Linked DNA regions of Saccharomyces cerevisiae S288C. The gene in region 3 interacts genetically with the main gene of each other region. Each region holds a gene or a part of one and is shown on either strand. Other genes may lie near its edges.

What was found.
Region 1: mutations in PTK1 (region 3) and EMI1 together harm fitness more than expected from each alone (negative genetic interaction), as found in Saccharomyces cerevisiae (2 studies listed by BioGRID).
Region 2: mutations in PTK1 (region 3) and SRL3 together harm fitness more than expected from each alone (negative genetic interaction), as found in Saccharomyces cerevisiae (2 studies listed by BioGRID).
Region 4: mutations in PTK1 (region 3) and RIM1 together harm fitness more than expected from each alone (negative genetic interaction), as found in Saccharomyces cerevisiae (2 studies listed by BioGRID).

The regions. Positions count from the first base shown.
Region 1 is NC_001136.10:1,470,000-1,477,705, reverse strand, and holds EMI1 (Emi1p), read left to right. Parts: upstream 1-6,642; coding exon 6,643-7,206; downstream 7,207-7,706. Other genes in the region: GRH1 (Grh1p), read right to left, coding at 1-467; EMI2 (putative glucokinase), read left to right, coding at 1,230-2,732; SLF1 (Slf1p), read right to left, coding at 2,934-4,277; YDR514C (uncharacterized protein), read left to right, coding at 4,707-6,158; dithiol glutaredoxin GRX2, read right to left, coding at 6,258-6,689; SDH7 (Sdh7p), read right to left, coding at 7,288-7,689. UniProt on the Saccharomyces cerevisiae protein: Involved in sporulation. Required for the full activation of the early meiotic inducer IME1.
Region 2 is NC_001143.9:604,775-612,765, reverse strand, and holds SRL3 (DNA-binding protein SRL3), read right to left. Parts: upstream 1,242-7,991; coding exon 501-1,241; downstream 1-500. Other genes in the region: SRP40 (Srp40p), read left to right, coding at 1-101; PXL1 (Pxl1p), read right to left, coding at 1,700-3,820; TGL4 (triacylglycerol lipase), read left to right, coding at 4,401-7,133; TVP38 (Tvp38p), read left to right, coding at 7,348-7,991. UniProt on the Saccharomyces cerevisiae protein: Weakly suppresses a RAD53 null mutation when overexpressed.
Region 3 is NC_001143.9:64,687-73,900, reverse strand, and holds PTK1 (putative serine/threonine protein kinase PTK1), read left to right. Parts: upstream 1-3,680; coding exon 3,681-5,669; downstream 5,670-9,214. Other genes in the region: PEX1 (AAA family ATPase peroxin 1), read left to right, coding at 36-3,167; MNN4 (Mnn4p), read left to right, coding at 6,435-9,214. UniProt on the Saccharomyces cerevisiae protein: Essential determinant for low-affinity spermidine transport.
Region 4 is NC_001135.5:169,306-177,187, reverse strand, and holds RIM1 (Rim1p), read left to right. Parts: upstream 1-3,747; coding exon 3,748-3,989; intron 3,990-4,072; coding exon 4,073-4,238; downstream 4,239-7,882. Other genes in the region: SYP1 (Syp1p), read left to right, coding at 750-3,362; FEN2 (Fen2p), read left to right, coding at 4,764-6,302. UniProt on the Saccharomyces cerevisiae protein: This protein binds preferentially and cooperatively to single-stranded DNA (ssDNS). Involved in mitochondrial DNA replication. Stimulates PIF1 helicase activity.

The DNA.
Region 1 (7,706 bases), on a different chromosome or scaffold from region 3:
AGAGAAACATCGTCCAAATCGTCGCTCTCCTTCGATATAATGCTGATATACTCGTCTCTGAACGTGCCTCCTTTAGCTGACCATATGTTGACCTTCAAAGTTCGGCCACAGTGTTCATTGAAGATGGATGTGATACGACGGTAATCTGGGTACGAAAATCCGTGTTGATTACTGACCACCGGCACCGGATCATCATTGAAACCTACTATATAGTCGAAAAAGGACTGCAGTTGGAACTGCATCTCGTCCACCCAAACAATGCGGAGACCGGAAAGCGTTTCATTGACGTTGGTGTGCTTAACACCTTCAGAAACCGCATCTACGGGTGATTCCAACTGAGCAGACAACAAATTTGGTGGTATAGACTGAAAGAAAGCGTCCAGATTGCTCGAGTCCTGCGAGAGTGCCAGGGTATCTTGCACGCTCTGCTCAAAAGTCCGTACGAGGTTTTTAGCTATTCTAAACATAGTTCTTCTTCCTATACCTTTTTACTTCCCTAGTTTCGCACGCTGTGTCGGTCGCAGTTACAGTAGTAGTCTCAGCACCCCTGTTCTTGGTCCTGATCCCGTTGCGACAAGCCCATTTCTTTTATGATAGCCAAAATGCAACTAAACCTCGTCGTCGTCGGCTTGCGTGTCCGCCGCGAAGACAGAAAAATAACGAAACGAACTTAATAGAAACGACCTAGATTTTATTTGGAAGCCAGCCCGATGCTATCTTCAAAATGGCTGTCACTGGGTGCAAAGGCGGTGGGAGAGCCCATTAAGTAATTTAATCGGGTTGTCTCACCAATGTTAGCCACAACGCAACGCTACGTCGCCACTCTGGCAGCCACCGCAACGAGCAGTAGCAACTACTTTCGGGTGGGCCCTTCAGGGGTAGTTGCCTGCGTCTTTGTTCGAAGAATCAAGTGACAAAAAACGCGGGGCATCCAGAAAGTCTTTTTGTGTGTGTCGTCGAAAGGGAAAGTGAGAGAGTGAGAGTGAATTAGTGTTTGTGTGTGTGGAAGACAGAGGAAGAAGATCGGGTCGTCGAATTCTATTATGCTTGCGATGCAGGGGGGGGAAACATGTATTCGGGATTATATAAAGTCGATTCTGTGTAAGTGTAAAATCTCATCTTGTCTCGTGTTCTTTTGTACGTCTCATACTTATAGGAAGTTTAAATAGAAACAGATATCAGTGTATCAAGGAAGAATTGTACAAGAATCGAATCATAGATACACAGTAATGTCATTTGAAAATTTACATAAAGTCAATGCTGAGGCATTGGAAGATGCAGTGGTTGAGATCTGCTCCTCATTGCAGGTTGATGCAGCAAAGTTGGACGAACTAACAGCGTACTTCATTGAATGTATGGAAAAGGGGTTGAATAACACCTCTGTAGGCGAAGAAAAGACGGTGGACAAGGGTCTACCCATGATCCCTACATATGTAACCAGTTTGCCCAATGGGACGGAACGTGGTGTTTTGCTGGCTGCAGATTTAGGTGGGACTCACTTCAGAGTGTGTTCTGTGACTTTGAATGGTGACGGAACCTTTGATATGCAGCAATTGAAGTCTAAGATTCCGGAAGAATATCTAAATGACAAGGATGTCACCAGCGAGGAGCTGTTTAGCTACCTGGGTCGCCGTACAAGGGCCTTCGTTAGGAAGCATCATCCTGAGTTGTTGAAGTCCACGGGGGAGAACATAAAACCTTTGAAAATGGGATTTACCTTCTCATATCCCGTTGACCAAACCTCTTTGAGTTCCGGTACTTTAATCAGATGGACCAAAAGCTTCAAGATTGAAGACACGGTCGGCAAGGATGTCGTGAGGTTATACCAGGAGCAATTAGACATTCAGGGGCTCTCTATGATTAATGTGGTAGCTTTGACCAACGACACGGTTGGCACTTTCCTATCCCACTGCTACACTTCAGGCTCTCGTCCATCGAGTGCTGGTGAGATTAGCGAGCCTGTCATTGGTTGTATCTTTGGTACTGGTACTAACGGTTGCTATATGGAGGATATTGAAAACATCAAGAAGCTACCAGATGAGCTCAGAACAAGACTGCTGCATGAAGGAAAAACCCAAATGTGCATCAACATCGAATGGGGTTCTTTCGACAATGAATTGAAACATTTGTCTGCTACAAAGTATGACATCGATATTGACCAAAAATTTTCTCCAAATCCAGGTTACCATCTATTTGAAAAAAGAATTTCCGGCATGTACTTGGGTGAGCTGTTAAGGAACATCCTGGTGGACTTGCATGCAAGGGGCTTAATCTTGGGACAGTATCGTAATTACGATCAATTACCTCACCGTTTAAAGACTCCTTTCCAATTGTGCAGTGAAGTTCTTTCCAGGATTGAAATCGATGATTCGACAAACTTGCGTGAAACTGAATTGTCGTTTTTGCAGAGTTTGAGGCTACCGACCACTTTTGAAGAACGTAAAGCAATTCAAAATCTGGTCCGTTCCATTACGAGAAGGTCTGCATATCTAGCAGCCGTTCCGATTGCCGCCATCCTAATCAAGACAAACGCTTTGAACAAAAGATATCACGGTGAGGTAGAAATTGGTTTTGACGGTTATGTCATCGAATACTATCCTGGATTCAGATCCATGCTGAGACATGCTTTGGCATTAAGTCCAATTGGCACTGAGGGTGAACGTAAGATACATTTGCGTCTAGCCAAAGATGGGTCCGGTGTTGGCGCAGCTTTGTGTGCTCTGGTGGCATAAAACATATCTGTTCTTAACAGCTTATTTTTAGTTTGTTTTCGTTTTCCTCTATATAAATATCTTATGTATCTGTTATATAAAAAATTATTTAGTACGAATTGAAATGAAATGTTATGTTATATTTTTAGAGAGAATCTGCTATTACTTTATACATGTTAACTATATACATAATAAAAAAAAAAAAAAAAATATTGTCTAAAATTAATCATTTATTTGTAAGTTTTGTTCAAACTGCCTGCTAATTTCACCTTGGTCATAGCTCTGACTCTTTTTCCCATTTTCATTACTGGGAAAGAAGTTTGGATAGCCCATATAAGAATAATTGTCTAAATCGTTCGGTCCCAATAGTTTCTCAATGTTGTATTTTTCAGTTTCGTCATCATTTTCATCAAAATTACTTTCCATAGCGTATTCAGCCCAATTTTCGCGCCTAATAAAATAGTTTTCCAATGGATTGAAATCATCTGCCATGTTCTTCTGAGCACCTTCTATGCTTCCAAGGGCAATTTCCAAATGGTTTGTTTCTTTATGTTGTAAAACTTCTCTCATAGATGCCAAAATTAAATTTGGGTCTCCACCAAGAGATAAATTAACCATACGGTAAAATTTCCCTATCAAACTCATGGGGATAAATCCGTCATTGGCTTTTTTGAATTTAGATCTTAAAAATTCATCTGTTTTCAAGTTCTCTTCACTAAAATAGAATTCAATTTGGTTTTTGATACTTTCGATAGATTTAAAAATAGGTTCCATTGAGTAATAATATGGTGTTTGCAATTGTTGTTGATAGTTGATGTTATTATAATACTGCTGTTGACGGAAGTATGACAGTTGTTTATAGCTATTTCTTGAATTGTTGTTCAACCAGTGGCTGGCATTGGGAATATATTCAGGTCTAGCCTGATAATTATTTGGGAAGGAGATGGCATTATTAGCCGCCTGACTGTGTCTACTATTGTTGTTGTATCTTGTTTTGCCATTCCTGTTTTGATAATTTCTTGATTGTCTACCGTTGGTTGAATTGTTGTTGTTTGTTATCCTCTTTATATTCCCATTGGCAGTTGCTCCTGAGCTTGAATGTATGTTTACTTTAGCGTTAGCATCTAAAGGTTTGGATTCAAGATTGGAAACGTTACTTATTTCCGATGTACTGTTGGTTTGACCGTTAAAGTCCTTTTTATTGATATCGTTATTATATTTGCCACGCTTTTTCATTTTTTTATTAGTCTTAGAATTTTTAGAGTTCTTTCCTGACTTTGAATTTGTGTCCTTGGAACCTGAGATTATAACAGACGGCGTAATTGGAGTCCATTTGGTATTGCTTGTTAATTTAATTGACCCCGAACCATTTTTACTTGGCTTTGCAGTCTTTGATATATCTCTTAGTTCCTCTACAGGAATTACTGTATTGCTATCTGGCGAAGATGATTTCCATGGCGATGTGGTTGGTATTGGTGCCAACTTTAAGGATGAAGTTTGTTTCTTCTTATCTTCAGCTGCTGAGGATGTATTTTTTGGATTATCATTGAGGTTTTGCGATGACATTTTTGAATTCACTTTATGATTGATTTTCTTTATCTTGGTTATATTTTTGGGCTCTCTCGTTTATTTAACGCCACCCTAAATTGTGTCTTAACAATACGCTTCCTCTCAGTATTTTTTTTTAAATAAAAAAATATGATAGAACTGCTGAACACTACTTTTTAAAACCTTTTAATAAATAGACAAGTGTCAACCAAGGATGTGCCAATTTTCCTTTGTGATTCAGCTGCGCTTGTATGTGCTTCCAGCTTTACTTTTACTAATTTTTTCATAAGCACAAAATAGTAAGATCTTTTTTCTCTTGGCGGTGAAAAATTTTGATTCGATGGATCAATAACATACTGCAAAAAACGGTTTGAGGACATATGAATACTGCATTTACTAGTAATTTGCCTAGTATATAGTTTGACTACACAGATTATAAGCTATTGTATGAGTAGCTCCACAAAGTGCAAGAAAGCATACGAAGCGGTAGTCAAAATGGTTACGCATAGATTCAACTCCAAAGCAGTCCGCAATTACCATCAACCACAAGGTTTAAACAGGAGTCTGGCAACCCGCAATGCAGCTAGAGTTAGGGGTATGGTCCCTTCAAGAAGAGGGGGCGTGGGACTGTATAAGAGTTCAAGTAGCAAGTTGATGAATAAACTAGGAAGACAAAAGACATGGATAAATGAGTTTGAACATTTTAATTCTCTGCACGAAATTGCATATACCCCTAACATTGCGTTAAGTAGTGAAATCCAAAAATATTTAAAGGCATTGGAAACAAACTATCGGTCCATCTATGAGAAAAGTTCAGAATTACTGGATAAGAAGCTGGAAGAAATTGACAAGAAATGGATAGAGAAAAACGGGTGTATACCTGATGCATCTAAAGACGATGTGGAGAAAAATCTAAGAAAGCAATATTTAGCAGATGTACAGGACGTAAAAAACGAACATATACCTGTGATGAATTGTGAACCTGGTGGGTCTCAGTTCAAGTATCTCTGTAAAACTATTGAGTTATTATCATCCAACAAGACAATTTGTTTTGCCATCGATGTAGAGGCATTTGAATTTGATACAGACATTGTTACAGAGATTGGCATCGCCATATATGATCCAAGAGAAAACATTTATTCCTTGATGCCGATTATAAGAAGTTATCATTTAATTGTTGCTGAAGCGTTACCGTTAAGAAACAAGAAATTCGTATGCGACTTTAAAGACTGCTTTTTACTTGGAGAAAGTCTTGTATTACCATTGGAACAATGTGTAGAGTTCATTCAGTCGTTGATTAATTTCTATATGAAATGTGAGACGGACCAAGATACAACCTGGGAAAGAGCGTTTGTGGGTCATGCTATAGCGGGGGATATTAAGTGGCTGAAGAAAATTGGGGTCCATGTACCTGAATTGGATAATGAACTTACCAAACCGGAGGACTCAACGGAGAGCAAAGGTGTTAGAAAACATGTTAAGATGCTTGACACAGAGAAAATTTATAGCATGTGTTATGGCAAGAAGGGTAGCAGTTTAGGTAAACTACTAAGGCTTTTTCACTTGCCACATGCCTTCTTACATAACGCAGGCAATGATGCATATTACACGTTGCTCCTGATGCTGAAGTTAGGAGATTATAACTTTAGAAAGCAAATTGGGGCAGATGATTTAGAAACAATGGGATATAGGATAAGAGAATGGTTTAAGCGTGAGGCGGACGAACCCAAAATTTTGCCAATGTCGTACGTGCTAAGTGTGATGAATGCCAATAATAGCAAACCGAAAGTTGATGATAAGGGAAGAAAGAAGCCGAGGGATCTTGTACCTCAGACGGAATTTAGCGGGTCTCATTGGTTTCAAAATGCACGCGCAGCCTTCAAAAGTACTCTTGTGTGAATCTAGCTAGAAGTTTTGTAGGTATATGTGATTTAAGATATAGATAATAAAAGATATATATATGTAAATATTATGAAGGGGATATTAGCGTAATTTAAACTATTGAAATACCGGCTTCAATATTTCAGCTAACTTGCCATTTTTCTTCAAAGTTTCCAAATCGCTGTTACCACCAATGTGCTTGCCATTGATGTATACGTTAGGTACAGTTTTTTGGCCCGAGATTTCTTCTAAAGCGTCTTGAATCTCTGAGCCATTGCTCATTTCATCTAATTCCAACACAAGGGCCTTGGATTTGGGAACGTTCAATTCTTGGAAGAGGGTAGACAAAGTAGCTTTACAGTAAGGGCAGTATGTCTTTGCTGCAACAAACACTTCCTTTTGGCCAATCAGATCCTTTACGTGAGCAACTGTTTCCTGGGATACCATTTTTGGAGTAGATAAAAATCTTTTAGCAATAATTCTTGTGGCAAACAACGTGATAATGATAATAACAATTAAATTCGAGTCGAAGGAAAAATTGGTCTCCATGAAACAATATATAACAGTAGTTGGAGTGTCCGTTAATCAAGAGGGCACCTTTTCTTGGCGTCCTGGGACTTTTTATATGAAAATTCATGAAGAAAGTGCGGCGGGCCCCTTTGCGAAGGGGGCCGAAATATCGGATCTTAGTAATAGTTCTGCTATTGGATGTGGTATTAGCATAAATCAAGAGGGAGGCGATGGTTCTATTAGGGTAAAAGAGAGCAGCTTGAGGAAGAAACAGGAAAGGATGAGTACAAAATATCCGACAACGATGAGTTGCCGAGAGGCATTTGATCAACTGACGAGTTGCTATTCGATTGGAGGGCAATTTAGAAGCTATTACAGATATGGAGATTTTACATCATGTGACAAGCAGGTGTCCAAATTCAAGTTTTGTATTATCCACGGCAATGACCCTGTGAAAGTGCAGGAATGGTATAAAGATCAGGTTTCCAACAATAAGGCATTGGAAAATACCAGTGGGGTTATATGGCAGGAGAGGGAGACCACTGCAAATAAGTGAGATTTTTAGCTTTTTTTTTTTAGCATGTGTACTATATAGTATATGGATTTCTTATTTACAAGCGCAATAAAAAGACGAACACTAATCCTTGTTGTTCCGCTTCACGTCCTTACTTGATTCTATTTCATTGTCTTGGTGAAGTTTCTGTGTTTCCTTCATCAATTCATACAGTTGAACTGTTTGCTCAGGGGATAGTTTCTCCAGGGTTTCCGAAGATAAAGTGGCATCTTTCCATTTACCGTTGGAAATCATGTGGAGATAATCTTGCCAGGAAGCTAAAAAGCCGACTATATGCAACGGGTTATCGATATCTTTGTGCAACTTGAACTCGTTTCGCACGTATTGGTCACCCATCTCCCTTTGGGGACCAGGTAGCAGCTTATGCTGCCTTAGTATCCTTCTGTAGAGAACCAAAGGTGGAAGTAAAAGCTGGCTGTTATGGGTTGCAAATCTAACCGAACGATATATGAGCTTGTTGTTCATGGTGAATGAAGACGGGA
Region 2 (7,991 bases), 540 kb from region 3:
GAGGTAAAGATTTCACGAAGAACAAAAATAAAATGAAGAGAGGTTCTTACAGAGGTGGATCCATTACATTAGAAAGTGGTTCATACAAATTCCAAGATTAAAAGAATAGGAAACATAAAACAAAACTCGTTGTCTGGAGTAATCTCCTTTTAAGTTGTAGAGTAAACAAATTGTAATTATAGCAACGATAGAAAAATAATAGTAATAAAGACAATAATAATAGTAACAAAAATGGTAACAGTAATATTTTGTATTGTTTTCCTTTGAAAAAAGAAAAAATAAATAACCTGGTATATAGGTAATCGCGTCACTAAATAATTAAGCATTCAATAAAAGTTTTTTTTAATTATTTTTTTTTTTATGTTTTTGGCTCCTAGAGGTGAATATTTTCTTTTTCTTTCTTCGCAGCTATATACTAAATATTAGTGATATAAACAGCAAGAACTATAAACCTAAAAGTAGCCAAAGCCATGTATATATGCGAAACCCGAATCATTAGTTCAGTCCGATGAGGACATCTTCAATAATGTATCGATAGCAACAACTTCTTGTAAAGAATTCTCCTGTGTACTTTGCGTTCTTCTATGAGATGACCAACGTAACGGCGAAACGTTAACGTTGTCTACCCTATTGCTTTTGGCATGTTTGGACGAAATTGCCTTCAAGAACGCTGCATGAGCGGATGAATCTTCCAGAGAACTCAGAAACTTTTTGGATTCATCTAACGAGTGACAGCGCCTATGCTTAGCGGCAAATTTATTACTATAAGAGCCCTTTCGTATCTTTTCCGTCGGAGGTGGAGGAATCAAAGCTACTTGCTCATGTTCCTTTGATAGCTTAACCATTGCGCAGTTGAGTCTTGATTTTAGCGTGCGTGAAAACTCCCGTACGGAATCGTCATTCTCTTCCTCGATAACCGCTGTGGGAGAAACCAATGGGGGCGTGGGGGATGGAAACATTTCTGCATTCTTAGACCTGGGTGTTGTAGGTGTTATTGGTCCTGGAAAATGAAATTGTACGTTGTATTGATATGTGGGATCCTCATTGCCATCGGGCGAAGGGGCAGATGTAGGAGAATCTTGCGCTTCACTTATTGAAGTTTTGAAATATTTCCTTGCCGGCGTCGCCAGAAGGCTGTTAGATTCAGTATCCAGGTTGGGAGAGATCAATTCGTTTATCGTTAAGACTCTCGATTTGGGAGTCTCATTTACCGTTTCCCAATTAGGTGTCTTAAGAAACATTATATTCGTCTATTATTTATCCGTTTGTGCTCAGGTTCTTCTTCCATCCTCTTGAAAATACAATAAAATAACGAAACATTTCATTGCTTAGCCTTTCCTTAAATAAATTTCCTTATTCTCTATTCTTAGGCTCCTGTTCCCTTTTTAGCTTTTAGCCTTTAATGCACCGGTACGAGAATGTCCAAAAATAGAAATTCGCTACAATTAAATGACGCGTAAAAAAACAGTTAGAGGTAGTTGTTGAGAAGAAGACAACGTAGTGAATATGAGTGAATGATGTCTTTATAACTAACTAACTAATGACGACTAATGTTGTTGATACCATAGATAGGCAGATGCCTTTTTCCTGCGCTATACAATTTATAAATGAACAAGGCTGGCTAATAATATAAAAAATCAAAATCTTATTAAGAATGTTATGAAACATGTGTGCTAGGAAAGACAAATGGGTAGTGATGCTAGTTGAAGTTGATGAGCCTCGTTCTCCTTTTAGAGAGAGTATTGTTCTTATCATTGCTTGATGTAGCATTGTCGATACCTTCCTTCAAGAGAGCTTCCATGTCGTGATTACCGCACAATGGAATTTCCCCATTGAATATATAATAATCATTAGTAATGGCAGTCTTGCATAAGAAACAGTTTAGACAATCCACGTGGAATCGTTCCACCTTATCATTTTCCAGACATTCACCCTCTATGAAATTTGAACAAACCTTACAAATACTGTGATTCTCCTCGTGATAGTGCTTTTGACAATATGGTTCATCGCCTAGAATATAACAGGGAACATGTTTATTGAATTTGATACCACATTCAATGCATTTAAAACATTCACGATGCCATTGACCCGACAGTTCGTTTTCCTTTTTGGAAAACATTCTTTTCCCTGTGACTTCCAAGCCGCATGCTCTGCAAGGTCCCTCCCCAGGCGGATATTTAAACTCAATGGGCTCCGTTTCTTTATAATCTGCATCAGAGCTGTATCTCGTAGTGCCGCCGTTAGGTAATACATGAGAGTCATTAGATTTGGAATTATCAATTTCTTCTCTCAGATCTGTTATGTTGCGCTTATGCTGCAGTTGTAGTGCTTCAATTGTGGGAAGTTTCGTTCTGAAAGTTTCTTGCGAACCCATCCCTTCATTATTGGAGTATTCTACGTTCGACTGTTTAAACTTGTAAAAAATGGGTGTGCCACCATTAGTTGTAGATTCAGATGGCGCGTCTTCATCGACATCGCCTTTATCTACCAGAATAGTTTGTCTGGATAAGTTCGTATTGCTGTTTTGCACAATTGATGTTTGCTGCGTTACGGGTATATCCATGCTGGGATACCCAGATAAATATGCGCTTGACTTTTTGAATCTAGAAGCCTTTCTGTCCACTGCGTTGAGGCAATTGCCGTTCATATCGAGCTTTGCATTTCTAGATAGGGAAACATCGTCTAATTGAGCAATCAATTGTTCGACTTGGAGGTTCGTAGCAGTGTATGGTGTTTCCACGTTTTCTGAAGAAGTTATTGAAAGACGTTTCTCATTTAACCCATCAAGACTTAAATCTTCAACTTTTGTTGACGATGATGACACACCAGGTGATTTCTGTTCCTTTGAAGATTCCAGGCCAGAAAAGTTATCATCAGGATATATTTTAGAGTCTAGTGCGTTCATGGTTAAAGATGGTGTATTACTTTCCCTCGTAACATTAATTTCCGGAATTTTAGGTTCTGTATTCTTTTCCTCTTGTTTTGCTTCTGGAAAATCATCTTGAAGTGGTTCATTTTCAAGATTCATCTGTAGTTTAGGATCTGGTTCAAAATTTAGGCTTTCAATATCATTCTCATCCTCCTGCTGTCCTTCACTTTCATATTCGATTGAACTTTCCTCTTTTTGCTGTTCTTTTCCGAGTTTTTGGTCGAGCACACCTCTGTTATCGGTTTGGTTCATAGAATTTACAACGCTTGCAGTGTCATTTTGAGTCAGCATCATGAAACTTCTTTCAATAGGGCTCAAATCTTGTTCCCTTTCAGTATTACCAGCATCTTCTTGTTCGAAGTTGAAGGGGAAGTTATCTGCGGCTTGGAATTCCTTGTTAGCAGGTGATTTACATGTATGCCTAGAGGCAGCATATTGTTCCGCCTGACGGTCTAAGTCGCGTTCAAAACGGAAGGGATCCTCTTGCGAAGCACGCTCGCTGGGCCTGGAAATAGAACGAGATATGTCACTGGGTCTCGAAGACGTAAAATTGCTATTCTTTGGAGGAGTTACACTCCGCCTCTCGCTATTCTCCAATACGGGAGGCGGATAAATGTCAGACTCGCCCTTTACAGATGAATAAGCACTCTTTGAAGACGCCGTATACGCACTCTTCATCGTGACCGGAACAGATGGGGCGGCAGATACATTTCTTTGACGGGTTATTGGCGGCGACTTCACGGAAGCTTGTAAACTTCCAGTGGAAGCATTCCTCTGACTACTGAACGGATTACGCGGCTTAGTGTCAAACCCTGCTCTTTCTAGAGCAGTTTTGTAGCGGACCTTCGGATTTATTTTAGGGAAGGGGGACCCGTAGATTGAGTTATACATTGACTTGAGCGTTTCTTTTGCTAAATTTATTCTTGTTTTTCCCCTTACGTTATTCACTATAAGCTTTGAAGAAGCTTGAAAAAAATTCGGCTATAATATCCTATTCTAGCTGTATAAATTAAATATTCAACACAGCAGAAATATATTTTAAGGCTACCTCTTAAATTTGCAACACTCCAGCTTTTCTATTATTATTATTTACTTATTTTTTCATGTTTCCTATTATTCATGGAATTGAAAAAGGACGCGAATTGAAAATTTCGAAAGAAATAGGGCTAGGCGCTTCAAAAAGTCATTAGGTTTACTTACCAATATTAGTAGGTTAAATATTAGAAAAAAGGAAAAAAGATCTTAAGGGGTTTAAAAAAAGTAGGGTAAACTAGGGCTGACATATTACCCCTCTTATACGATAATTGCGACTATGAAACGCTAAACCACAATTATAAAGTATGGTTGATTCAAATTGTCATTATGTCATTATTGTACTCGTAAAAGAGGCCTGTATTCAAGTATTTGATCAAAAAAATTAGCGCTGTAATAATTATTGAAGGGAGTACAGGTATATGTAATAAAAGTCTGAATGAGCAGCAAAATATCAGATCTTACATCTACACAAAATAAGCCCCTCCTTGTTACGCAACAACTAATCGAAAAATATTACGAACAGATCCTGGGCACTTCCCAGAACATAATTCCTATTTTAAATCCGAAGAACAAGTTTATTAGGCCCAGTAAGGATAATTCAGATGTTGAAAGGGTGGAGGAGGATGCTGGTAAAAGACTGCAAACTGGCAAGAACAAAACTACGAACAAAGTAAATTTCAACCTGGATACTGGAAACGAGGATAAACTTGACGATGACCAAGAGACAGTAACAGAAAATGAAAATAATGATATCGAGATGGTTGAGACAGACGAAGGCGAAGATGAAAGGCAAGGGTCATCTTTAGCCAGTAAATGCAAATCATTTCTTTACAACGTTTTTGTGGGAAACTATGAAAGAGACATTCTTATTGACAAAGTCTGTTCACAAAAGCAACATGCGATGTCATTTGAAGAATGGTGTTCTGCGGGCGCCAGATTGGATGACCTCACTGGGAAAACAGAATGGAAGCAGAAATTGGAAAGTCCCTTGTATGATTACAAGCTAATAAAAGATTTAACATCTAGAATGCGTGAGGAGCGCTTGAATAGGAATTACGCTCAATTGTTGTACATCATTAGGACGAATTGGGTACGAAACCTGGGAAATATGGGGAATGTAAACCTATATAGGCACTCCCATGTAGGCACCAAATATTTAATTGACGAGTATATGATGGAGTCTAGGTTAGCGCTAGAATCTTTAATGGAGTCTGATCTTGATGATAGTTACCTTTTGGGTATACTGCAACAAACGAGAAGAAATATTGGTCGTACCGCTTTAGTTCTCAGTGGGGGTGGAACTTTTGGTCTTTTCCACATCGGTGTCCTTGGTACTCTATTTGAATTGGATTTATTACCCAGAGTGATTAGTGGTAGCAGTGCTGGTGCAATTGTAGCAAGCATATTATCTGTCCATCACAAAGAAGAAATTCCGGTTTTACTAAATCATATTTTGGATAAAGAATTCAACATTTTCAAAGACGATAAACAGAAAAGTGAAAGCGAGAATTTGTTAATAAAAATATCTAGGTTCTTCAAAAACGGTACGTGGTTTGATAACAAGCATCTGGTAAATACAATGATAGAATTTTTGGGAGATTTGACATTTAGGGAAGCTTACAATAGAACGGGTAAAATTTTGAATATAACCGTTTCGCCGGCATCTTTATTTGAACAACCGCGCTTGCTGAATAATTTGACTGCACCAAACGTCCTGATTTGGTCCGCCGTATGTGCATCATGTTCACTACCGGGAATTTTCCCCTCGAGCCCACTTTACGAAAAAGATCCAAAAACGGGAGAAAGGAAACCATGGACTGGTAGTAGTTCGGTCAAATTTGTCGATGGTTCTGTGGACAATGACTTGCCCATTTCTCGTCTTTCTGAAATGTTTAATGTAGACCATATTATCGCATGCCAGGTGAATATTCACGTATTTCCCTTTTTGAAACTATCACTATCCTGTGTTGGCGGGGAAATTGAGGACGAATTTAGTGCAAGATTAAAGCAAAACTTATCAAGTATATACAATTTTATGGCCAATGAAGCTATTCATATTCTAGAAATTGGAAGTGAGATGGGAATTGCCAAAAACGCGCTTACAAAACTGAGATCGGTATTATCTCAACAATATTCTGGTGACATCACTATTTTGCCCGACATGTGTATGCTTTTTAGAATAAAGGAGCTGTTGTCAAACCCAACAAAAGAATTTTTATTAAGGGAAATCACCAATGGTGCAAAAGCTACGTGGCCCAAGGTTTCCATTATTCAAAATCACTGTGGCCAGGAATTTGCTCTGGATAAGGCGATTTCTTATATCAAAGGTAGGATGATTGTCACCTCCTCTTTAAAAACCCCCTTCCAATTTGCTGATTCAGTCATTGGATTAATTAAAGCTCCAGAGCAAACGTCAGATGAGTCCAAAAACCCAGAAAATTCAACATTGCTAACTAGGACTCCAACCAAGGGTGACAATCATATTTCCAATGTTTTAGATGACAACTTATTAGAATCAGAATCGACAAACTCTTTGCTATTGTTACGTGAGAATGCAAGCACATATGGGCGGTCACCTTCCGGGTTTAGACCGCGGTATTCCATTACGTCCGCTTCTCTCAATCCGCGTCACCAAAGAAGGAAATCAGATACTATTTCAACTTCAAGGCGACCAGCCAAATCCTTTTCATTTTCAGTTGCTTCTCCCACATCAAGGATGTTGAGGCAATCCAGCAAAATCAATGGACACCCACCGCCAATTCTGCAGAAAAAAACAAGTATGGGCCGGCTAATGTTTCCTATGGATGCCAAGACCTATGACCCGGAAAGCCATGAACTTATCCCACATTCTGCCAGCATTGAAACACCTGCCATGGTAGACAAGAAATTGCATTTTGGCCGAAAGAGTAGATACTTGAGGCATATGAACAAAAAATGGGTCAGCAGTAGCAACATATTATACACAGATTCGGATAAAGAAGACCATCCTACATTGAGACTGATAAGTAACTTCGATTCAGACGCAATGATTCATAGTGATTTAGCGGGCAATTTCAGGCGTCATAGCATTGATGGAAGACCCCCTTCTCAAGCTACAAAGAGCTCACCGTTTCGATCGAGGCCTTCTTCTTCAACGCAGCACAAAAGCACCACCAGTTTTACTCAATAAGAAAACACGGGCTTGCTTATATATCCTCTAGATATTCTTTTTCATCTATGTATTTATTCGAATGGCCTTTCTCATTCATATCATTTTCAAAGCGGAAATCGAAATCATTGTTTTCTCTCGAGCTGCACTAAGAAAAAAAGCCACTTTACTAAAACAATACCTTCAACATATTTGAAAATATTATTATGGTGGAAGAAAGATATTGGTTACACAAATGAGTCAGTCTTACGAAGCAGGAAATGCCAATATGGGCCAAGGGGAGGATGATGAATTTGATGGCTATTTCGAAGACTTTGACAACGATATCATGCCAAATAGTAATAATGGACAAAGGGTTGGTACTAATGCTGGATTGTCATTCAATGACGAAGTAAATGTTAATGATGATGATTTTTTAGACATTTATAATATGTCCCCTAGAGAGAGATTGATGCATAATATCAGGAAGAATGTTCAAAAATTACAGTTTTATTTTTATTCACTACGCTTATGGCAACAGATTATCATTGTCCTCCTCGGCATAATGCTAATGATAATGGGTATATTGTTGCTCGTCTTCCATAATGCGATTTTACATAAAGTTGTTGTTACTTCGAACGATTTGAGAGAAAAGATGTCAACACATTTTATATTAATGGTTCTGATATTCTTTGTCGCATTTCCTCCTATGATTGGCTACTCCTTATTATCCACCACTACTGGGTTGATCTATGGTGTCAGTTTTGAGGGATGGGTTACGCTAGCTTTGGGATCTGTAACAGGTTCCATTGCCTCTTTCGTTGTGTTCAAGACGATCTTGCATTCAAGAGCAGAAAAGCTTGTGCATTTGAATAGAAGATTTGAAGCATTGGCTTCAAT
Region 3 (9,214 bases):
AGTAACAAGAAACACCTGAGGAACTGCTCTTTCAAATGACGACGACCAAGAGGTTGAAGTTTGAGAATCTGAGAATCCAATTCTCCAATGCCATAGTAGGAAACTTTTTAAGGTTACCGCATTCAATTATAAACGTGTTAGAGTCAACCAACTACGCTATCCAGGAATTCGGTATAGCAGTCCATTCTCATAATTCAGATATACCTATTGTTCATCTTGGATGGGATGGCCATGATTCTGGATCGAGTGAGAATGTTGTTCTTATCAATCCTGTTTTGGCCACAGTATATGATTTAAATCAAAAGTCTCCATTGGTGGACTTATACATCCAGCGATATGACCACACACACCTGGCTACGGAGGTGTATGTCACGCCAGAAACGAGTGATGATTGGGAAATTATCGATGCCAATGCGATGAGGTTCCAAAATGGTGAGATTTTGCACCAAACCCGTATAGTTACCCCAGGTGAGACTTTGATTTGTTATTTGGAAGGAATTGTTACAAAGTTCAAAATTGACAGGGTGGAGCCATCAATGAAGTCTGCGAGGATCACAGATGGTTCCTTGGTTGTTGTGGCACCAAAAGTCAATAAAACACGTTTGGTGAAGGCTGAGTATGGTCATAGTAATAAGACAATACTAAAAAATGGGGCTATCCAACTTTTAAAGAAGGTAATATTGAGGAGTACTGTGTGCAAAATGGACTTCCCTAAAGATAACCTTTTTGTCGTATATATCAGTGACGGGGCACAATTGCCTTCTCAGAAGGGCTACGCTTCTATCGTAAAATGTAGCTTAAGGCAGTCCAAGAAAAGCGATTCAGATAATAAATCAGTTGGTATCCCTTCGAAGAAGATTGGGGTTTTTATAAAATGTGATAGTCAGATACCCGAAAATCACATTGCATTAAGCTCTCATCTTTGGGATGCATTCTTTACGCACCCAATGAACGGAGCAAAAATCAAACTAGAGTTTCTACAAATGAATCAAGCAAATATAATATCCGGAAGAAATGCAACAGTCAATATCAAATATTTTGGCAAGGACGTTCCTACCAAGAGTGGGGATCAGTATTCTAAGTTGTTGGGCGGGAGCTTATTGACCAATAACTTAATACTTCCAACAGAGCAAATTATAATCGAAATAAAAAAAGGTGAATCCGAGCAGCAGTTGTGTAATTTGAATGAAATTTCCAATGAATCCGTTCAATGGAAAGTAACCCAAATGGGTAAAGAAGAAGTTAAAGATATTATCGAAAGGCATTTGCCTAAACATTACCACGTCAAAGAAACTGGCGAAGTTTCGCGCACTAGTAAAGATGAAGATGATTTCATTACGGTAAATAGTATCAAGAAAGAAATGGTCAATTATTTGACATCGCCTATTATTGCCACACCAGCTATTATATTAGATGGTAAGCAAGGGATCGGTAAAACAAGGTTATTAAAAGAGCTTATAAATGAAGTGGAAAAAGATCATCACATCTTCGTTAAATATGCGGATTGTGAAACATTGCACGAGACATCAAATTTAGATAAAACCCAAAAATTAATTATGGAATGGTGTTCTTTTTGTTATTGGTATGGTCCTTCTTTGATTGTGTTGGATAACGTTGAGGCTCTATTTGGAAAACCTCAAGCCAATGACGGAGATCCTTCTAATAATGGCCAATGGGATAATGCAAGCAAACTTTTGAATTTTTTCATCAATCAGGTGACAAAGATATTTAACAAGGATAATAAACGAATCAGAGTTTTATTTTCAGGCAAGCAGAAAACTCAAATTAATCCGCTATTGTTTGATAAGCATTTTGTTTCAGAGACGTGGTCTTTGAGAGCACCTGACAAACATGCAAGAGCGAAGTTACTGGAGTATTTTTTCTCGAAAAACCAGATCATGAAACTAAATCGAGATTTGCAATTCAGTGATTTGTCGTTGGAGACAGAAGGATTTTCGCCACTAGATTTGGAAATATTCACAGAAAAGATTTTCTACGACTTGCAGTTGGAAAGAGATTGTGATAATGTTGTAACAAGGGAACTTTTTTCGAAGTCGCTTAGTGCGTTTACACCATCTGCGTTGCGTGGAGTAAAGCTAACAAAAGAAACGAACATCAAATGGGGGGATATTGGTGCTTTAGCAAATGCCAAAGATGTCCTTCTAGAAACCTTAGAGTGGCCCACAAAATATGAGCCTATTTTCGTTAATTGTCCCCTAAGATTGAGATCAGGAATCTTGCTTTACGGTTATCCTGGTTGTGGTAAAACGCTTCTGGCGAGCGCCGTGGCACAACAATGTGGGTTAAACTTTATCTCCGTTAAGGGACCAGAGATTTTAAACAAGTTTATAGGTGCCAGCGAACAAAACATAAGAGAATTGTTTGAAAGGGCACAGTCCGTCAAACCCTGTATTCTATTTTTTGACGAGTTCGATTCTATTGCGCCAAAGAGAGGGCATGACTCCACTGGTGTCACAGACCGTGTAGTCAATCAATTATTGACCCAAATGGATGGTGCCGAGGGCCTTGATGGTGTATATATACTAGCAGCTACAAGTAGACCTGATTTGATTGATAGCGCATTGTTAAGACCGGGAAGATTAGACAAAAGTGTGATCTGTAATATACCGACTGAATCAGAGAGGTTAGATATCTTGCAAGCTATCGTCAATTCAAAAGACAAGGATACGGGACAAAAAAAATTTGCATTGGAGAAAAATGCAGACTTGAAGTTGATCGCTGAAAAGACAGCTGGTTTTTCGGGTGCTGATTTACAGGGGCTCTGCTACAATGCTTATTTGAAATCTGTACATAGGTGGCTGTCTGCTGCAGACCAATCGGAAGTGGTACCCGGCAATGATAATATAGAATACTTCAGTATCAATGAGCACGGGCGTAGAGAAGAAAATAGACTACGGCTAAAGACTCTATTGCAGCAAGATGTGGTGCACGAGACAAAGACAAGCACTTCAGCTGCTTCTGAGCTGACAGCTGTGGTCACAATAAACGATTTATTGGAAGCCTGTCAAGAGACAAAACCTAGTATTTCAACAAGTGAGTTGGTCAAATTAAGGGGGATTTACGATAGGTTCCAGAAGGATAGGAACGGTGAGATGCCCAATGGTGAGAATTCCATCGACATTGGTAGCCGACTCTCCCTTATGTGAAAAGGAAGAAGAAAAGAACAAAGCGCGTTTCCCTTTAAAGGGCAAAAAATGCGGCGCACGTTGCTTATTACGTGACATGACCCTATTGTATTGTGCGAGCACGCAGGACGGGAAAAATATTGGTGAAATTACATAACGCATTTTTTTTCCCTTGTGGTGAAAAGGAAAAACCCGAGAAATATGCCAGTAACAGTGGAGACCGGTCAAGATGTATTGAACGAAATCCGAAGTTGCATATATAACATAAATGCCTGCTACCTTTTGATACTTAATTCTTCTTAGCACCTATACGCTTTTTTTTTCATTTTTCCTTATCTTTTCTTTTTCTCGCAGAAGTCTATACAAAGAAGAAATATATATATATCTATTTCTTTTTTTTTTCAACCGTATACCACCGGCAACAAACCTCCATGTATTCATAGGCCCTGCATTACATCAAGAAATATTAGCATAAACGTATAGACCATTTTAACGCCACAGGCAAGCATACGCATTAAATCGCACCACCAACCAATGACAGTCTCACACAATCATTCTACGAAGATATCCCAACAACCAATCTCCTCGGTATCAGCATTTAAGTTCTTCGGAAAGAAGCTGTTAAGTTCAAGCCATGGGAACAAGTTGAAGAAAAAGGCGTCTCTACCTCCAGACTTCCACTCTACAAGTACTAATGACAGCGAATCCTCCAGCCCAAAACTGCCGAATTCGTTGAAAACCTCTCGCCGTGCAAACTCTTTCGCTCACACAACCAACAGCAAGAGATCTTTATCTTCCGCCTCAACCAAGATCCTACCTCCGGCCGGCTCCAGCACGTCCATCTCAAGAGGAAACAGACATTCGTCCACTTCGCGTAATCTCTCAAACTCCAAGTTCAGTAGCGAACGATTAGTGTACAATCCATACGGCGTCTCAACCCCAAGCACGTCACTCTCGTCCGTCTCTACCTCCATGAAGAAAGACCCTGATCTGGGCTTCTACCTTCACGATGGGGATTCCAAAATCCGCATGCTGCCGATCCCAATTGTGGACCCAAACGAGTATCTGCCCGACGAGATGAAGGAGGCAAGCATCCAGTTGAGCGATAACTTCGTCTTTGATGATGAGAATAAGACCATCGGATGGGGCGGTTCGTGCGAAGTGCGCAAGATCCGCTCCAAGTACCGCAAGAAGGACGTATTTGCTCTAAAGAAGCTCAATATGATCTATAATGAAACGCCCGAGAAATTCTACAAGCGCTGCTCAAAGGAGTTTATCATCGCAAAGCAGCTAAGTCATCATGTTCACATCACAAATACTTTCCTTCTAGTCAAGGTGCCCACCACCGTCTACACCACTCGCGGGTGGGGGTTCGTCATGGAGCTAGGTCTACGAGATTTGTTCGCGATGATACAAAAATCGGGCTGGCGCAGCGTGGCCCTAGCAGAAAAGTTTTGTATATTCAAACAGGTGGCGTGTGGTGTCAAGTTTTGCCACGATCAGGGCATCGCCCACCGTGATTTGAAACCGGAAAATGTACTGCTATCCCCGGACGGCGTGTGCAAGCTGACAGATTTTGGTATCTCAGACTGGTACCACACGGATCCACACGACCTGTCCAGCCCTGTCAAGAAGTGCGCAGGGATGATCGGCTCGCCGCCGTATGCTCCCCCGGAGGTCATGTTCTACGACTCCAAGAAGCACTACGATACGGAATTGCAACAGCCGTATGACCCACGCGCTCTAGACTGTTATGGCCTGGGTATTATCCTCATGACCCTCGTCAACAACGTCATTCCATTTTTGGAATCCTGCAGCTTCGACACTGGTTTCCGCGATTACTGTGACGCTTATGAAAACTTTATCCGTCTTCACGATCGCGCATTCCGCAATCGCGGCAATTACCGCCCGGGGCCGGGAATGGAGTATCACTTGGCTAGAAATTTCAAGAACGGACATGCATCTCGCGTGGCATGGCGGCTCGCTGACCCAGAAGCCGCCACCCGCTACACCATCGACGACCTCTTCGAAGACCCATGGTTCCAAGGAATTGAGACTTGTGTTGATGCCAACGACAAATATGTGTGTAAGAAACCTATTATCAAAACCACTACGTACGAGAATCCGCGGGGTTTCCATATCGCTACAGATGTTGCTGCAACCACACCCACCTCAAACCCATTCCTTAAGAACCGAGTCCCCATCAGGTCAATGGTAGATATAGCCGCCCATCCTTCCCCAACGGCCACGGTTTTAGCGTCGTCGCCTCCGCCGCCTCCTCCGGCGACTCATGTGCCAGCCGAGGCCTTATTTACACTTAGGGAAACCCCGCCGCCCCAGCTAGCAACCCTCACGCTTAGCGAAGAACCTCCCGCAACTCCCGCACCTTCCGCACCTTCCGCACCTTCCGCTCGCGTCCGTGGCCACTCCCCGCACAGGGTAGTGCATCACCATCTGAACATTGTCAACAGCTTGGTCCATAGTTCTAGCGCGGCGTCTTCTCAAGTTCCGGCTTCGACCTAGCCAGAATGTGCAGCAGAGTAAATAATATTCACTTCCCTGTTCCTAAAGCGTACAATATACAACTCCAACTTCATATCAACTACCAGAAACAGTAACATACGTAATAGTTATTTTCTATATTTTTATTTTTTTTTTGCCACTGACCAGTCTTCGCGGCGGTGTGAGTTTCCGTCTGTACGCAGCATTTAGCAGAGATTTGCCAATGCCAAGAAACTCCGCTAAACTAACATCGCGATGCAATGGGCTTGGTATTCCGTGGAAGAAAATGAAAACCGGCGCAAAGAATCCTCCGAGAAAATTTGATGCGGTGCACGGATTTCAGCACGGGTTTCAGCACGGATTTTATTTCTTTGCACCCCGCAAATTTCTGGGCGATGATAAACATACCGCATCTAAAACCGTATACAGACTACGGCACAGAAGCCAAGACTAACAAAAAAAAAAAAAAAAAAAAAAAAGAAAAAAGAAAAATGTCACGTGTTATTCCTTGTGCCCTCTGACCTACGTAGTTACTTGCGTGGCTTCAAATTTGATATCAGCTCTCGAGACGTCCTGATCTCTATACCTTATTGCTTGCTTTAGGTTGAGGCAATAAAGAAATAATTACATCTTTGGTTCTTTCCCCCTTTTTATATATCTGCAACAATATTAAACAATTAAATTAAAGAAGCACGTTTCCGTTTTTTATCATATACCATTCCCCTAACCGCCGAACTCACCGCATCACAACGTCACTATTCCTTCACACAAATAAACTAATTAGTTATGCTTCAGCGAATATCATCTAAACTTCACAGGCGGTTCTTATCTGGCCTGCTGCGTGTCAAGCACTACCCATTAAGGCGCATTCTCCTTCCACTGATTCTACTGCAGATCATCATTATAACGTTTATCTGGTCAAATTCACCGCAGCGTAACGGACTTGGGCGGGACGCTGATTACCTTCTACCAAATTACAACGAACTTGACAGTGATGATGATTCCTGGTATAGCATCCTGACTTCGTCTTTCAAAAACGATCGCAAGATCCAGTTCGCTAAGACATTATACGAAAATTTAAAATTCGGCACCAACCCTAAATGGGTCAATGAATATACTCTGCAAAATGACCTGCTCTCGGTCAAAATGGGCCCTCGAAAGGGCAGTAAGCTCGAATCCGTGGATGAGTTGAAGTTTTACGACTTCGACCCTCGTCTCACGTGGTCCGTTGTGCTGAACCATTTGCAAAATAATGACGCAGATCAGCCAGAAAAGTTACCCTTTTCATGGTACGACTGGACAACCTTCCACGAGCTGAATAAGCTGATTTCCATAGATAAAACTGTTCTGCCCTGCAATTTTCTTTTCCAGTCCGCTTTCGACAAAGAGTCTTTAGAGGCCATTGAGACAGAGCTCGGCGAACCTTTGTTCCTATACGAAAGACCAAAGTACGCGCAGAAACTGTGGTACAAGGCCGCTAGAAACCAGGACAGAATCAAAGACTCAAAGGAACTAAAAAAGCATTGTTCCAAGCTATTCACTCCAGACGGGCATGGCTCTCCTAAGGGTTTAAGATTTAATACGCAATTTCAAATAAAGGAGCTGTATGATAAAGTTAGACCCGAAGTTTACCAATTGCAGGCAAGAAACTACATTTTGACTACACAGTCGCATCCACTATCCATTTCCATCATCGAATCAGATAATTCCACGTATCAAGTCCCCTTGCAAACTGAAAAATCAAAAAACTTGGTGCAATCCGGCCTGTTGCAGGAATATATTAATGATAACATTAATTCTACGAACAAGAGAAAGAAAAATAAACAGGACGTAGAATTCAACCATAACAGGCTTTTCCAGGAATTCGTCAATAACGACCAAGTTAACTCCCTATACAAACTGGAAATTGAAGAAACTGATAAATTCACTTTTGATAAAGATTTGGTTTATTTATCCCCTTCGGATTTCAAGTTCGATGCCTCCAAAAAAATTGAAGAGTTAGAGGAACAGAAGAAACTCTATCCGGACAAATTTTCCGCTCATAATGAGAATTATCTGAACAGTTTGAAGAATTCCGTAAAGACAAGCCCTGCATTGCAAAGAAAGTTCTTCTATGAGGCTGGTGCCGTGAAGCAATATAAAGGTATGGGGTTCCATCGTGACAAGAGGTTCTTCAATGTTGATACATTAATCAATGATAAACAAGAATACCAGGCTAGATTGAACTCAATGATCAGAACATTCCAAAAGTTTACTAAAGCCAACGGCATCATATCTTGGTTGTCTCACGGAACGCTGTACGGCTATCTTTACAATGGAATGGCTTTCCCTTGGGATAACGATTTCGACTTGCAAATGCCCATTAAGCATTTACAATTGCTCAGTCAATACTTCAACCAATCTCTTATATTGGAAGACCCAAGACAGGGTAATGGACGTTATTTCCTAGACGTCAGCGACTCCTTGACAGTAAGAATTAACGGTAACGGTAAAAACAATATCGATGCAAGATTCATTGACGTCGACACCGGCCTTTACATTGATATTACCGGTCTAGCTAGCACTTCTGCCCCTAGTAGGGATTACTTGAATTCTTATATTGAAGAGCGGTTGCAAGAGGAACATTTGGATATCAATAATATCCCTGAATCGAACGGTGAGACCGCTACTTTGCCCGACAAAGTAGATGATGGGTTAGTCAATATGGCTACACTAAACATCACTGAGCTACGTGATTACATTACCAGCGACGAAAATAAAAATCATAAAAGAGTCCCCACTGATACTGATTTGAAAGATCTTTTGAAAAAGGAACTGGAAGAGTTACCAAAGTCTAAGACCATTGAAAACAAGTTGAATCCTAAACAAAGATATTTTCTCAACGAAAAACTTAAACTTTACAATTGTAGAAACAACCATTTTAACTCGTTCGAGGAACTATCTCCCTTAATCAATACTGTTTTCCATGGTGTGCCAGCGTTGATTCCTCACAGACATACCTACTGCTTGCACAATGAATATCATGTACCTGATAGATATGCATTTGATGCTTACAAAAATACTGCTTATTTGCCCGAATTTAGATTTTGGTTCGACTATGACGGGTTAAAGAAATGCAGTAATATTAATTCATGGTATCCAAACATCCCCAGTATTAATTCATGGAATCCGAACCTCTTGAAAGAAATATCGTCTACGAAATTTGAGTCGAAACTTTTTGATTCCAACAAAGTCTCTGAATACTCTTTCAAAAACCTATCCATGGATGATGTTCGCTTAATTTATAAAAATATTCCAAAAGCTGGCTTTATCGAGGTATTTACTAACTTGTACAATTCCTTCAATGTCACTGCATATAGGCAAAAGGAATTGGAAATTCAATACTGCCAAAACCTGACATTTATTGAAAAAAAGAAATTATTACATCAATTGCGCATTAATGTTGCTCCTAAGTTAAGCTCCCCTGCAAAGGACCCATTTCTTTTTGGTTATGAAAAAGCTATGTGGAAGGATTTATCAAAATCTATGAACCAGACTACATTAGATCAAGTTACCAAGATTGTTCA
Region 4 (7,882 bases), on a different chromosome or scaffold from region 3:
TTTTAGAATTTTGTTGACAAGAACATCTGGTGAAGCAGGCTACCCCTTTTTAAAATACGTGGAAAAAAAAATGACGTTCTCGTCATTGTCATCTTCCATGTCTACGCCTTTTCGTGTCCATTTCATTCTATTGATTAACTTATTAGACATCGGAGGGAAGTTTTTCCACCTATGTTATATATGTAAATTTTTTTTTGAAGGAGGCGCGCATAAAATAATCTCACACTATTTTGAACATTGCTTAGGGTTGAGTGGGGAGTAAAGAATAAAGCGAATCCTATTCGTGTAAGCCGGTCTACTTATTGATAACAATATTTTACAGGCGGCTATCATGTTTCAGCTTACGCATTCACAGTCAGGTTGGTGCTCTACATGAATACCAGCGTTTACTTTCATTTACAGAGTACTAGCACCTCCACTGTCGCTAATACTGAATTTAGTTTTGAAGAGTGAAAACAACTAAATCAGGCGGTAGAAGAAAATCAATAGCTCATATATTCTTATATATTACAGGTGATATTTGTATATGATTATGAATGGCTTTTCGTAGCCCGTGATCTTTCATTTCTATATTATGTGTAGCTAAAAGGGCCCCTTAAGTACTTGCAGATTGAAAAACTCTATATTGCATTCAAGTTTTCACGAAATACAAAGAAAAGGTCTCGTAGTTATTGCCTTAATAAAGGAATTACTTTTGCTGTAGTCGTATTGAAGCAAGCTTATTTGAAAATTGCGAATAATCACCTCTCATGACGGAACAAAGAACCAAATATGCAGATAGCATATTGACTACTAAGAGTCCTTACGAGGCTACCGAAACTATTAGAATCAGGTTATCGCAGGTCAAATTGTTGAATAAAGACTTTTACCTGTTATTTAAGGAATTGGCAAATCTGAAGAGGAACTATGCTCAGCAATTGAGAAAAATAATAGCTGAAAATGAAGATATAACAAAGATCTTAAACGCTCAAATGATTGAAAGTAATGTTTTGACTCCGCAGGAAATGAGTGCATTCAGATTCAACTCGCTGGGAGAGCTAAGAAATGTATGGGATACTGTAATTGAAGAACTAAAATCAGATTTGAAGTCAAGTACAGAATACTACAACACTTTGGACCAGCAAGTCGTTCGTGAATTGAAGGAATCCGTGGAGAACAATACTAGCTGGAGAGAAAGCAAGGACTTACATTCCAAGCTTAGTAAAAATGCAGCTTCAATTGAGCACTATAGTAAGAATAACGAAAACTCTAGTCACTTAGAAGAGGCAAGAAGGCAATGGGACCAGCAAAGCCCCTATTTGTTTGAGCTGTTCGAGACTATTGACTATAACCGTTTGGACACTTTAAAAAACTGTATGCTTAGATTTCAAACCAGTTTTAGCGATTATTTACTAAATACTACCAAAGAATGCGAAACGGTGATGACGAAATTCCTGGCATTCGAACCGCAAAGTGAAATTGATCGTTTTGCCAAAGATGCCAGTCAATACAACTTCCAACTATCCTCTTCTTCCAAAGAAGTAGTTCCTAATAATGCTTCGCCAGCTTCTGCCACTGGTGCCCGCCCGGTCTCTGTATCCAATGGTGCCGCTAATACGGAAAGAGAAAAGAAATCCCCACAAAAGGATAAGCGTAAGAGTGCATTTGGAAACATTGGACATCGTCTTGCCTCTGCATCTTCCAGTCTCACTCATAATGATCTCATGAATAACGAATTTTCAGACTCTACTAATAATTCTTCCTTGAAATCAAAAAAGTCGTCCCACACCCTAAGATCTAAAGTGGGCTCAATTTTCGGTAGAAATAAGACCAAGAACAAGAGACAACAACAATCATCATCAAACTCTCATATTCAGGCATCCATCACTGAGACTCCGAATAATTCTTCCACCAGAGTGTCTTCAACTGCAACTTCTTCTATTTATCAGAAGCAACGTCGACCCACCTATTCATCATCAAAATCAAACAATTGGACCCCGGGTGAAGCTAGTGACACTCCTCCTCTTCCTCCCCATGCTACTCCTAAAAACGTAGATGCACCTGTTACTGCCGATACACCACCTGCGCAAACTTTTACTCCTTCTGAAGTGCCTCCTTCAACGCCACAACAAAGTTCTCCACCCACTGCGAAAGAACCAGACTCAAGTAACTTACCCAAGACAGTACCGATATCAATTTCTCAACCTCCACTTCAGCCACAATCAAAAACAAAACCATTACCAGTTGAGCCTGCCTCTCCCAGTATTTCACTTCCTACTGCTACGGTTGATAACCAACCTTCAGGTCAAGTTGATTCAAGGCCCTTGCATATCCGCGCACCTGCTTTACCACCCTCAAGGAAACAAAATTTCATTCATAACAGGGATTCTCAACTCTATGACTCTTTGCCTAATCACGGCTCAGGCGCTACCCCTACTTCTTCTTCCTTGTCCTCTATTCCCCAGGAACGTCCAGTTTCCACACTCTCCTCTCAGATTACTGGCGAGCTAAGAGAACTAAATCCTCAAGCCACGGGCTCTTCAACATCTTTAGTTGGTCAATCGTTGTTTCAGCACTCCTCTTTAGATACATCTCAATTTGGGTTGAATGCTAGTATCGCAGAAGTGCTCAATGCTTCTTTCAAAGACGGTATGTTGCAGAACTCCCAACTGATTGGGGAAATTGCCCTCAACTATTTACCCAATTCTGTCATGAATTCGCCTTTACCTATCGGTATTAATTTGAGAATCAATAATGGCGCTAAGTTCGAAAAGGTCATTCTGAACCAAGCCTTTATTGAGCGTGTTGCTCCAGAAGAATTCAAAGTTAACCCTTCATTTATCGATTCTAGAACCTTAGGAGCTATTAAATATTCCATAAAGGAGCCGATCGCGCCTATTGTTATTCATCCGGTCTGGAGATTTGAATCTCACCAGGCAAGTGTTGTATTGACTGTCAAGATGTCACCAAGCTTACCCGATGAAATATCACAAATCGTAATAGAAGACCTCGTTGTCTTTGTGAATATCGATGGTGCTAATGCAACAAGCGCTTTATCAAAACCTCAGGGCTCCTTCAGTAAAGAAAAGAAGAGAATAACGTGGAGATTTAAAGAACCAGTTGTTTTGACAAGAAATGGTGAAGGTCAAAGATTAATCGCCAGATTTATTACAGACGGCCTGGCACATGAATCCGCTAAAGGCGTGATTACCAAATTCACTATCAGTGAGACGGATAACGTGGCTCTACCCCATAGCGGAGCCGGCAGTGGAATCACCTTGACTTGTCAGGAGCTGGATGAAAACAATCCATTTGGTGGTGAGTGGCTCGATGTAAACACAAAAAGAACTTTGACCACTGGTAACTACCATGGTCTCGCTTGATATTTCTGCTATGCTTCTATTTTTCAATATTAATTGTTCTTTTGTTTGCTAATCCATAATTTATGGAGGTGGCGCCGCTAAATCATATTTTCCTTTTGAAACCTTTGTTTAAGACTTACGTAGAACTACACTTATGTACTATAATGTTCTGTAAAGATTCTGTATTTTCGTTCTTTTCTATTCCATTTTTCGGACTTTTAGGACTTTTCATCTAATACTTATTATTTGTGGAGGAGTGCTTAAAAGGCGTTTGCGCCCAGACGAAAAAAAAAAAGCTAACACAGTAGTTGAGAAAGACAAATACCACGAATTTGATAACAAGTCATTTGCTAATTGTGTGTCCTTGACAAATACAAAACAAACAAAAATCCACTAATCCATTGTAATGTTTTTACGTACTCAAGCTCGTTTCTTCCATGCTACTACCAAGAAGATGGACTTCTCGAAAATGTCCATCGTCGGCCGCATTGGCTCTGAATTCACTGAACATACTTCTGCTAATAACAATCGTTATTTGAAATATAGTATCGCTTCGCAACCAAGAAGAGATGGCCAAACCAATTGGTATAATATCACCGTTTTCAATGAACCTCAAATCAATTTTTTGACAGAATATGTTAGAAAAGGGTATGTTATTTATTCTTCAATTTTACTTACTTTACAATTACGCGTTATAATTTACTAACATTTCCTTTCCATAATTTATTCAGCGCTTTGGTATATGTTGAAGCAGATGCTGCTAACTATGTCTTCGAGAGAGACGACGGTTCTAAGGGTACTACTTTGAGCTTAGTTCAAAAGGACATTAATTTATTGAAGAATGGGAAGAAATTAGAAGATGCTGAGGGCCAAGAAAATGCTGCTTCTTCAGAATAATTGTAATATTTACGCTTGCTTATTTCGACTCTTCCTCGATATTTTTTATCTAGAGCATGCTTTCTTTTACTTAAAATATTTATGGCAAATAGGAAAAATACATTTGGAATAACGAACTAGTTATGTAAAACTATGCTTATTCTCAAATAGAATGTATATATACTATAATATATTGGTTAACGTGTGTTATGCAAAATGCTTTTTGATGATGAAATTTAGCAAAAGAGGAGGAAGCTTTAGCGAATTTAACATATCCTTCATTGTTACAAAATTGCCTACACCTCCATTGATCCATGCAGTCCGATTATTGTAGATTTTGAGTAGTCGATCTTGAAAGGCATTTTTGACGAATTACAAGAACTCAGCATCGATCAAATCTTCTACATGCGTATATTGTAAAGGAAGACATCGGCTCTTAAGAGAAATGAGGCGGACCTGTAATTCTGATATAAAAGTATTCCGATTTATTCAAGATTGAGAAGCTGTTTTCAGAATTTTTGATTGGAGAGAGCCTGGGCCTAAGTCATGATGAAGGAATCGAAATCTATCACTCAACATGAGGTTGAGAGAGAATCTGTTTCTTCCAAGCGTGCCATTAAAAAGAGATTACTTCTGTTTAAAATAGACTTGTTTGTGCTATCATTTGTTTGCTTGCAATACTGGATTAATTATGTCGACCGTGTCGGTTTCACCAATGCATATATATCCGGTATGAAGGAAGATCTTAAGATGGTCGGAAACGATTTGACCGTGTCTAACACAGTTTTCATGATTGGTTACATTGTAGGTATGGTCCCCAATAATTTAATGTTATTGTGTGTTCCGCCCAGGATATGGCTAAGTTTTTGTACGTTTGCTTGGGGTTTATTGACCTTGGGAATGTACAAAGTTACATCGTTCAAACATATTTGCGCAATTAGATTCTTTCAAGCCTTATTTGAGAGTTGCACATTTTCAGGAACACATTTTGTTTTGGGTTCGTGGTATAAAGAAGACGAATTGCCCATTAGAAGTGCTATTTTTACAGGTAGCGGTTTGGTGGGATCTATGTTCAGTGGATTTATGCAAACAAGTATCTTTACTCATTTGAATGGGCGGAATGGCTTGGCGGGTTGGAGATGGTTATTCATTATTGATTTTTGTATCACATTACCCATTGCAATTTATGGGTTTATTTTCTTCCCCGGCCTTCCTGATCAAACAAGTGCTGTTAGCAAATTTTCTATGACGAGATACATTTTTAATGAACAAGAGCTACATTATGCTAGGAGAAGGCTCCCCGCTAGGGACGAAAGCACCCGGTTAGACTGGTCGACTATTCCTAGAGTCTTAAAAAGGTGGCACTGGTGGATGTTCTCTCTTGTTTGGGTTCTGGGAGGTGAGAACTTGGGTTTCGCATCTAATTCTACATTTGCATTATGGTTACAAAACCAAAAATATACGTTGGCGCAAAGAAATAATTATCCTTCGGGGATATTTGCCGTAGGTATAGTTTCTACGCTTTGTTCTGCTGTATATATGAGTAAGATCCCAAGAGCTAGGCATTGGCATGTTTCTGTTTTCATATCATTGGTAATGGTTATTGTTGCGGTACTAATACGTGCAGACCCACTAAATCCAAAAGTCGTCTTTTCTGCACAGTATCTTGGAGGCGTAGCATACGCTGGACAAGCGGTTTTTTTTTCGTGGGCAAACATTATTTGTCATGCAGATCTTCAAGAACGTGCTATCGTTCTTGCTTCCATGAATATGTTTTCAGGGGCCGTTAACGCATGGTGGTCTATATTATTCTTTGCTTCAGATATGGTGCCCAAGTTTGAGAGAGGTTGCTACGCCCTCTTGGCTACGGCAATATCAAGCGGAATTGTCTCGGTCGTCATACGCTCACTACAGATAAAAGAGAATTTGTCTAAGAAACAGGTTCCTTATATAGATGCTAATGACATGCCCGGAGAAGATGACGATGACGACAACCAGGATAATGAAAATGATGGCGACGACGAGAGTATGGAAGTTGAACTTCATAATGAGGAAATGGCCGAAATTTCAAATCCTTTCCGATAGATACATTCGATTCTTTTAGCTATTCATTGGTCCTGTTGATGGTAATGGAAAATCTCAGGGCTCTTTTCAAAAGTATCATGAACAATAGCCGCTAAGACACTTCTAAAGAGGTCTACTTAGTTTTTCATCATGCATTTTTCGATTTCTGTTTAACTAATCTTTCTTTTCTTCCTTGCCAAGTGCAGGACAATTTCTAAGTCTATGTTTTTAAAAGCTTCTTGCTAACTTATTCGAAAAGGTTTAGTAAGTATTTTGTTCTCTGCTATGCGTTCACGCACTCTGCTATTTTCTACTTCTTGGTAGAAGTTAAAGTAAGTCAACTAATTACGACACCATGTCTGATGCATTTTAGAAACTTCAAATTTCAAGATTATTGTGACACGAAAAATTGGTTATTTTATGAAACAATGTAAGGAAAGCATTAGAATCTCAGGCAATAGAAGAGACCAAGAAGGAGCGAGAACTTTTTTTTTCACTGACAGAGCTTTACCAATCCACAGACAATTGCCAGGCCATGAAAAGATCTGTTCCAATTTTTCCTTTATCTATCCTCTCAGAAGATTGTGAACTTGAGTGACCTGAGCAGGTGACTTAGGTGGAGGAGCAAGATAAAGCTAGCTCCGGTCGGAATTTTGCCTATACTTTTTTTTTCTCTTAGCTCGATTTATTTACCTTTATTTAACTTCTGCAGTTGGACAACGATAAATATAACTTGTACTTCTATTATGGGAGCTATCTTCTTAGCGTTTTAATATTTCTCTTAAATATGACACAAGTTGGTTTACCGTGCTGTGATTATTGCATGCTCTTTCGGTGTTAACGTTCAAGCAGCGTCAGTGAGAACTAAAATCATCCAATTTTGGTTAGAAATTGAGGACGAGATGACCTGACGCAGTTCTTCATTGGGAGATCAGTCGCGCGAGAAAGAGTCCAGAGACAAAGGAATTTAATATGGCTACAGCAAGATGTTCTGAAGGATGATCGTGATCTGTTCAGGTGAGAAATCGGTGAATGTTGTGATTATCGTTGGGTCCACTGTTTTTTAAAGGGTATAATATTTCGTATATACTAGACGTTCTACTCGAGGACATAGGAATCCTTAAAATGGAATCGGTATTTCTACATAATAATACTCCTACCTTCTGTTTCTTATGTTTCATTATCTTATTACATTATCAATCCCTGCATTTCGCTTCCATTAGGTTTGATGACTGTATCTCAATCTTTATGTCATCTTCTTACACCTCATGTGATAAAATGCTAGTAGCATGAATACTTCTGAATGGATGGTATTTTAGAGTTTTATTCCAACACTAATATTATAACCTTTACCGAGAATAGTGAGAAATGTGTGGGTAATTAGATAATTGTTGGGATTCCATTGTTGATAAAGGCTATAATATTAGGTATACAGAATATACTAGAAGTTCTCCTCGAGGATATAGGAATCCTCAAAATGGAATCTATATTTCTACATACTAATATTACGATTATTCCTCATTCCGTTTTATATGTTTATATTCATTGATCCTATTACATTATCAATCCTTGCGTTTCAGCTTCCTCTAACATCGATGACA